Linked DNA regions of Sus scrofa. The protein of the gene in region 2 purifies or fractionates together with the protein of the main gene of each other region. This does not show direct contact. Links are inferred from orthologs where the notes say so. Each region holds a gene or a part of one and is shown on either strand. Other genes may lie near its edges.

Region 1 (4,135 bases), on a different chromosome or scaffold from region 2:
TAATCATCTATGGCCTAAATGAACTGGCCCATTATTCTCCTGATCTCATCGACACTCAACACCAACCACACTAACTTAGCAGTTTCTCAGAAAGCCAAGCACTCCTACTCTTTGGTCTTTGGCCTTGCTATTACTCTCTCCCTGGAATACTCTGGAGGTACACAGGACTTGTTCAAATCTATTAAAATTTTACCAGAGGCCCTTCCTGAGCACCCTATATAAAATAATTTTATTTTCCTCTGAAGCATTTAGACATACTATATATTTACTTATAGCCCACCCCTCCCCACCATATTAGCATATAATCCCATCGGAATATGAGTGCAGGGACTGTTCTGTTCAGTTATATCCCTAGTACCGGAACAGTCTGGTGACTAAATTTAACTTGTTGGGAATGCTATTAAATACATATAAAGCTAAATTGATGTACTCTTTCAGTCCAGAGAAAATGTTGCAAAAAGAATTGTGGAAGAGACAGAAGGGACCATGGTACATCCCAATCAGGAGCCTGCAGTGATAGCTGGGCAGGGGACAATTGCCATGGAAGTGCTGAACCAGGTAAAAGCTTACCTCTTGTTTAGCTACTGGTAATGCTAAACAGTGGGTTTAAGGCTGTAGAACCAATTATTTTATATGCACACATAAAATTGGTTATTAATAGACTTATTTATATTCTTTTCACTAAAGCTCCCCTTGGTAGATGCACTGGTGGTACCGGTAGGAGGAGGAGGAATGGCTGCTGGAATAGCAATTACAGTGAAGGTGAGAAAACAGCTTCTGGAGGACTTCCCACTTCAGGCATAGAAGTTTATTTTAGATCATAGTACATTGTGAGTATCTGCCCAACATTCCCTCCAAATTGCCATTCCTTCTCATCATCCCTTGGCACTTGAGTCAGAAGCCCCTTCTCTGCATCACCACTCCTTCCTTAATGAAAACTTTACAGCATAAAAGCAGTTACAGTGAGTGGCAATCTCACAGTCCTTTCTTTGAATTCCATCTCATCAACCTACAATCCAAGTTGGGTTATTCTTTTCCCAAGTCACCAGCAGAACCAGCTGTGTTCTAGGCAACACATGGTGGAATCCAATTTAAAGTGCTCAAAGACCCGGTTTCCATTACATCAATTAAAAGACTCTTTGGCAGAAATGTGTTAATCATCGTACTGCCTACTTTTTACTTCAAGCATGCAGGCAAAATGCTTTGGCCAGTTGTAAGGTATCTAATATTCCTCTTCCTAGGCTCTGAGACCTAATGTGAAGGTATATGCTGCTGAACCCTTGAATGCAGATGACTGCTACCAGTCCAAACTGAGAGGAGAACTGACCCCCAATCCTCAACCTCCAGACACAATAGCAGATGGGGTCAAATCCAGCATTGGCCTAAACACCTGGCCTATCATAAGGGACCTTGTGGATGATGTCTTCACTGTCACAGAGGATGAAATTAAGGTGAGGCTCCAAGAGGTAAAGAAATAACAAAAGAATGGAGCAACTTATGCAAAAACCCTTCCCTTTGTAAGTAGCAACTCACCCACTGGGGACTTGACTAGGTGGTTTCATGAATGTGGGAGGGTGCCCTAGATGTATCAAGATAACAGAAGTGTAGTTTGAATGGGGGGGGGGGGGAAAGCAAGCAAGCCCTGCCCGTTTCACTGGCAAGCACAAACATACAGCAATAAGAAAATTCAGACTGGGCATATATTCTCATCTGGCCTTTAACTTAAAAGGCCAACCAACTAGGCTCTTTCCCCGGCTATCATTTTACTAATTCTTACTCCCTTCCATATTAACAGTATGCAACCCAGCTGGTGTGGGAGAGGATGAAACTGCTTATTGAACCTACAGCTGGTGTTGGAGTGGCTGCTGTGCTGTCTCAGCATTTTCAAACAGTTTCCGCAGAAGTAAAGAACATTTGCATTGTGCTCAGTGGTGGAAATGTAGACTTAACCTCCCTAGCTTGGATGAGGCAGGCTGAAAAGCCAGCTCCTTAACATTCTGTTTAATATGTGCAAAAGGACAAAAAGGGATTCAATGTCTAGAACAGACACCTGGAAATTCTGTCTCCTGGTCACTGTCAACTTCCTAATCTTCCCCTCTTAAACACCTGTCAAACTCCTGATGTAGAATGACATTTCAGTAAGATTTAATAGTTTTCAGACTAAGTAGGGATAGAAAAACATCGATACTTAACTGAGACACCTTGTTAAGGCTAAGAAAGTCTTCTGCAAAGAGGAGTAGAGACCCCTAAGCCTATGCAGAAAACAAACTGTCCAGTCACAACCTACGGGCTCCCACCCCCAGAGTGCTAACTGGCAGCAACAAGACAGAAGCCCACAGAATCCATTATTCCATGTCCTCTTCAGGTACTGTTGAAGAGATCTCATTTTTCACCCAAGGTACTGGATCCGGTACATATGGATCATAAGTCCATTTGGGGAAAACTCGTTTATAGAGGTTCATCAGTACTGTGTCCTGAGATTTTAGCTTCCCATCAAAACTGCACTTCATGTGGCCATGAGTACCTAGAAAGAAAACAGAGCTAGTTGGTCAAATTGAAACAGAACAATTTTAAAGCAGTGGCCTTTTAACCCAATCATCATTTAGTAGCACTGGGGAAATCTAAACAAGATCCCAAATCCCACATTCTCTTACCTAAAGGCTCCTTGATGTATCCCCTACGTCCCCACTTTGTTCTCAGTTCCACTGGTTTAAACCACAGCACATCCTCTTAGAATGAAACACACACAGAAGACCAAGATGAAACATTTACCCACAAAATTAAACCCAACCTCACCCCACAGAGGCAGCTAGACCCCGTCCTTCACACCTACCTCTGCTGAAGAACATGTAACGCACCACGGCCATCTTAGTAAAAATTTTAAAAGGATGACCACTCAGAACAACTCTCTTGATGACCATTCTGTCTGGATCCACTGACAATAGATGGCCTGTGGCAATGAGACTGTGCATTCCTAAGGGGCAAAGGCAGAGGGGCAGGAAGTCTATTAAGTCAAAGCCTTCATTCAGCGTCCAGTCTATTTAAAGACCTATGCAAGATCTTTGAAAAATCTTTTTTTTTTTTCCCGTTAATGGCTATACTCACAGCATATGGAAGTTCCTAGGCCAGGGACTAAATCCGAGTTGCAGCTACTGTGCCAGGTTGGGTATGGAACCCATGCCTCCTCAGCAACCAAAGCTGCTGAAGTCAGATTCTTAACCTACTGTGCCACAGCAGGAATCCCCTTTTTCCTTTCCTTCCTTCTTTCTTTTTTAAAAAATTCAGGACATCTTAAAGAAGGGATATACTATGCTGCCCTCCTGGGTCCATGGCAAAGATGACTACGTGACATGCCTGCTGAGCCTGTCCTCAGAACCTAGCCTAAATATAGCAGCCTCTACCAATTAGCCAAGGTTTGCAAACAAGATAAAACCTTATTTGTCATCCCTGCCTCAGACCCACTCTGAGGCTGAGATTCAGACATTTTGAAAACAACCATTACCTTGCTCCCAAATGTAAATAAAGCAGTTTAAACTTATTAAGACTTGCAGGCCTATTTATCTCTGTGAACTCAACTTACCATTGCTGTTCTGTTTGAAAAGCAGCACAGATGCAGGAGGAAAGGTGATTGGGGCATATACTGTCACCACCAGGGCCATGTCAGCAGTCAAGAATCTCTGAAATTTATGTTTATCCGCTGCCATAATAGAGGTTAAAAAATAAAAACCAAAAAGTAATTTGAGAAACAATAGATAATCCAGAGGCCTATTATGACTGCAACTCTTAAACCTAAGGCAACTAGTGTTTCTTTATCCTACAAGTTTTCCAAATATCTTCTGGCCTCAATACAACCGAAAGATACAACTCAATCCTATCAGAGTGATTTTTCAACTGGAGGCAGAATCTTGGAGCTTGAACAAAAGTTTTTCAGGTGACTCTGATACCCATCACTTCTACCTCATTTGAGAATCAGTGCTTTACAGCAAAGCACCCCACTAACTCAACAGCTCTTAGTCTTGAGCAAGGACTGGCATACATTTCTATGAAGTGTCAGATAGTAATTATTTCAGGCTTTGTTCCAACTATTCAACTCTGTCATTGTAGCACAAAAAAGCACAGACAATACATTTTTAAA
Region 2 (3,818 bases):
TTTAATTTGCATACATGTTTTTACCCCTTTAATCATCTATTACTTGAATTAAGTCATCCTGTTGTACCTTCCTTTAGGTTAAATTTAAACCGAGGGAGTTCCCATCGTGGCGCAGAGGTTAACGAATCCGACTAGGAACCATGAGGTTGCGGGTTCGATCCCTGGCCTTGCTCAGTGGGTTAACGATCCGGCGTTGCCGTGAGCTGTGGTGTAGGTCGCAGATGCGGCTGGGATCCTGCGTTGCTGTGGCTCTGGCGTAGGCCAGTGGCTACATCTCCGATTGGACCCCTAGCCTGGGAACCTCCATATGCTGTGGGAACGGTCCAAGAAATGGCAAAAAGACAAAAATAAACAAATAAATAAATAAATGTGACCTCTAGTCAGAAAATGAAAAAATTAAATAAATTTAAACTGAATTTCAAGGCAATAGAAGGCTCTTTTAAATGAGCCTAAAACATAAATGCAAATGCACAAAATCACTAGCAGATTAAACAGTCTTATTTTTTATTAAAGTATAGCTAATATACAGTGTTGTGCCAATTTCTGCTATGTCTAATTATAAACATTAGTTATTGCAAAGCACTCTTACCAATTTAACTCCATGAACAACAACAAAAAATCAAAACCCTTCTAATGAAGCAAATCTTTTTCTTTTCCTATAGGAATGGCCAATGTCCTCATTTATACTTGCATGAAGTCGATGTTTAAAAAAATCATCTCTAAACCTCATTTCAAAATACTCTCAAGTTTGTTTCACAGCTAATTTTTTTTGGTTTAGAAAACTAAAATGTACAAAGATTTTATTGATTCTTTTTATCAGAGGTTACCTTCATAACACTTCAATTTAACTCTGCAACTAAGTCTTATACTTACACAAAACCCTACAAGGATATAGCAGTTGGACATTCCTTTAAGAATGTGTCCCAACGCTTAAGTAGAAGTCACCAAATCAAAAGTCGCATATCTTTCTCAAATATTCTTACTAGCTTCCATGTTAAGTAAGGGAAACCCATAAATTAATTCTCTGGTCTTTACAAGACATCACTCTTCAGTAAAAGAGAATACTAACATTTACACATTATATATGGCATATGCAGTTTCAGTTTACATCACACGAAAACACCAACTTTTCAACCTAAAAGTAGTCTTTTAATGAATCCCAGTTAGATATAATTTTTAAAAATACTGTTGTAACTCTGAAGGACTAATTTCTTAGAATATATGATACTGCAGTTTATTTTCCTTTTCAGGCAACTTATCTGCCCCATATAATCCTATGTAAAATTTGTCTCTCTTTTTTATAAACAGATTATTTACATGATTTTCTTAAAACAAAAATTGTAAATACAATCCAAGACACATCTGAACATTTTCAACCACAAAACTTCATTTTACCTCTTCACTCTTTGACTTATGAAGAACAAATCCCTTTTTCCACTGCCCATCAGCACCTTCATTTGGTTTTCGGATATTAAATTCTACTTTTGCCCGGTCCTTATTTTGAATAGCCTTCCACTCATCCAAAGTCATTTCTTTTGGACCCTCTTCCTTTACTTCTTCAACTTCGTTCTCCCTGTAAAAAATTTGTTTAAGTTTTACACCTGGTGGGAGCTGATAAAATCATGTAACTTCTAAGTAAGGAAGTTAATCTTGGCTGGTTGATAATCTTCTAGATTATTAAAAACCGGGAGAATCAGTTTTCTTTGAAACCCAATGGCTAACATATGACTTGACGGTGACAAGGAATTCAACATTTATTGAAATTAGTGAAAGTATGGATCACTACGGAACCTACAATTCATCTTCATAAATCCTTAAGTGACCACCTATCAGTTACACAATCTTGAATTGGCTTGACCAAAACATGTTCCTTAAAACTAGACATACACATGCTTAAAATCCTCAACCTAGGTTCTCCTAAATCAGTTTTAATTTCCATTCATTTCCCACAACACACAACACATAAAGTGAGTATGTGAAAGTAATCATCTAGGAGGCCTGTGAGCAACCAAGTTTCGTACTCTAAAATATAAAAGAACTGTTCCCCTATTCTTTATTTAATACTTAAGGCAAATCTTTAATTTCTACAAATCCTAAAATTTATATACTCCAACTTTCAAACCAAACTGTATATAGAAAGAAGACTGAAGTTTCACTAGTAATAGAACTCTCTACAAAACAAACTGGCTTCAATCCTTATCACCAAATCAGTTACTTCTAATTCTCTGGCTTTAACTATTATTTATTATCCCTTTCCCTTTTTACAGAAACAAAGCATGGGCCTAGGAATCCACTATTTCATTTCAATTTCCAATTGTCACCAAACAAGTTGTTTGCTATTTTGGGAGCCCCGCTTCTTTCCAAAGATAGCAGGTGATTCAGTCAGCCATAGAGCTCAAATATCTCCCATCCACACTACTCTTTTCTGTTTGACAAATCCTATTTTAAAACTTCTTAGACCAAGTTTACAGTGAATTGATGAGATCTTGGCTGTCAAGTCCAACCCTGTCAGTTTACAGATGAGAAAACTAAAGATCAAAAAAAAATCCCAGGTACCCATAAGTTATAACACAGCAAACAACAAAATTCAGCATACCCTTATCATACCATGGAACCATTAACACCTACTTTCAAAGGTTGTTGTAAGAATCAAATAAAACAAAGCAGCTCTAGGAACTCCACATAAGGAAACTGATCAAATTCAGCAGAAGTTGTGCTTACTAAATTTACACTTGCATCTGCAAGACAGTACTATGTTCAGATTCTCCCCTATTCTGGAATAAGACTTGAGGCTGCCCTAATCTTCATGTTCTTTAGACCACATATCACCTCCAATTTCAGTCCTGGGAACTGAACTAAGAATTTGCCTCCAACACCCTATCAATGCATCATTTACTTCTGGTAGAATCTTAGCAGGTTACTCTTAAAGTGATTTAAAGGTGAGCTCTTTATTAAGGGAACAGCATTTGTGTTCAGCATTGTGAAGTACTTAATGTTACAAAAGGTTTATTTAACTTACTATTTCATTATTAAACAAAATTAAGATTCCAGTTTCATACAAATGAACTTGTATCACCCCAAGTTCCATACATCAGTTAACATCATGTACTTTTATCTACTCTCTCCAGTAGTAGTAAATCATCAAATCCACTAAATAGGGTTTTCTAATCATTAATAGTGGTTCACTGTAAGAACAATTCTTTCTAGAGAAAAAGAAAAGTTTAGAAAAACACCCCCTCCCTGACTAATCTGAATATGTTCTGGTTAAGAAATTACTGACCTAAATAATCTGTAATGCAAGAATTTAAATCACATACTGAAGGAAATGACTGGCATATAACTTCTTATATCAATGGAAATTAGAGGAAGGCATTCAATTATTTCTAGTAGTATAATTTGAGTCTCTAAACTCTCCCACCCTTGAAAAAACAATTTCAAAACCACCTTCTACTTAAAAACTCAGAAAATAGAGAGGATTGAGAAAGCTAGCGAACTGGAGTACCTGCTATGGCACAGTGGGTTAAGAATCTGAATGCAGCAGCTCAGGTTAGATTCCTGGCCAAGTGCAGAGGGTTAAAGGATCCAGCACTGCTGCAGCTGCTATGGCTCAGATTGAACCACTGGCCTGGGAACGTCCATATGTGGTGGGTGCGGCCATTAAAAAAAATAAGAATAATAAAGAACGCTAGTGAACTGATAACATATTCTTCTGGCCCCTGCTCTCCTCGAACATGTTAAAACAAGCCAATATTATGTTCCAAAATCTATGTTGATGGGAAAAAAACCCTCAAAGAGATGGAGGAGCTAATTTTACAATG

Evidence for each region.
Region 1: the proteins of SERBP1 (region 2) and TSR1 purify together in Homo sapiens (affinity purification with mass spectrometry; 3 studies listed by BioGRID and IntAct, with this or other methods). This does not show direct contact. The link is inferred for Sus scrofa from reciprocal best matches to the Homo sapiens genes SERBP1 and TSR1.

What each region holds. Positions count from the first base shown.
Region 1 is NC_010454.4:48,403,513-48,407,647, forward strand, and holds the end of TSR1 (pre-rRNA-processing protein TSR1 homolog), read right to left. Parts: exon of another isoform or gene 3,698-4,135; coding exon 3,581-3,697; exon of another isoform or gene 2,975-3,580; coding exon 2,834-2,974; exon of another isoform or gene 2,730-2,833; coding exon 2,655-2,729; exon of another isoform or gene 2,525-2,654; coding exon 2,346-2,524; 3' UTR 1,994-2,345; coding exon of another isoform or gene 1,796-1,993; 3' UTR 1,452-1,795; coding exon of another isoform or gene 1,242-1,451; 3' UTR 794-1,241; downstream 1-793. Other genes in the region: SRR (serine racemase), read left to right, coding at 439-558, 688-762, 1,242-1,451, 1,796-1,993. UniProt on the Homo sapiens protein: Required during maturation of the 40S ribosomal subunit in the nucleolus.
Region 2 is NC_010448.4:145,193,001-145,196,818, reverse strand, and holds part of SERBP1 (plasminogen activator inhibitor 1 RNA-binding protein), read right to left. Parts: intron 1,574-3,818; coding exon 1,396-1,573; intron 1-1,395. UniProt on the Homo sapiens protein: Ribosome-binding protein that promotes ribosome hibernation, a process during which ribosomes are stabilized in an inactive state and preserved from proteasomal degradation.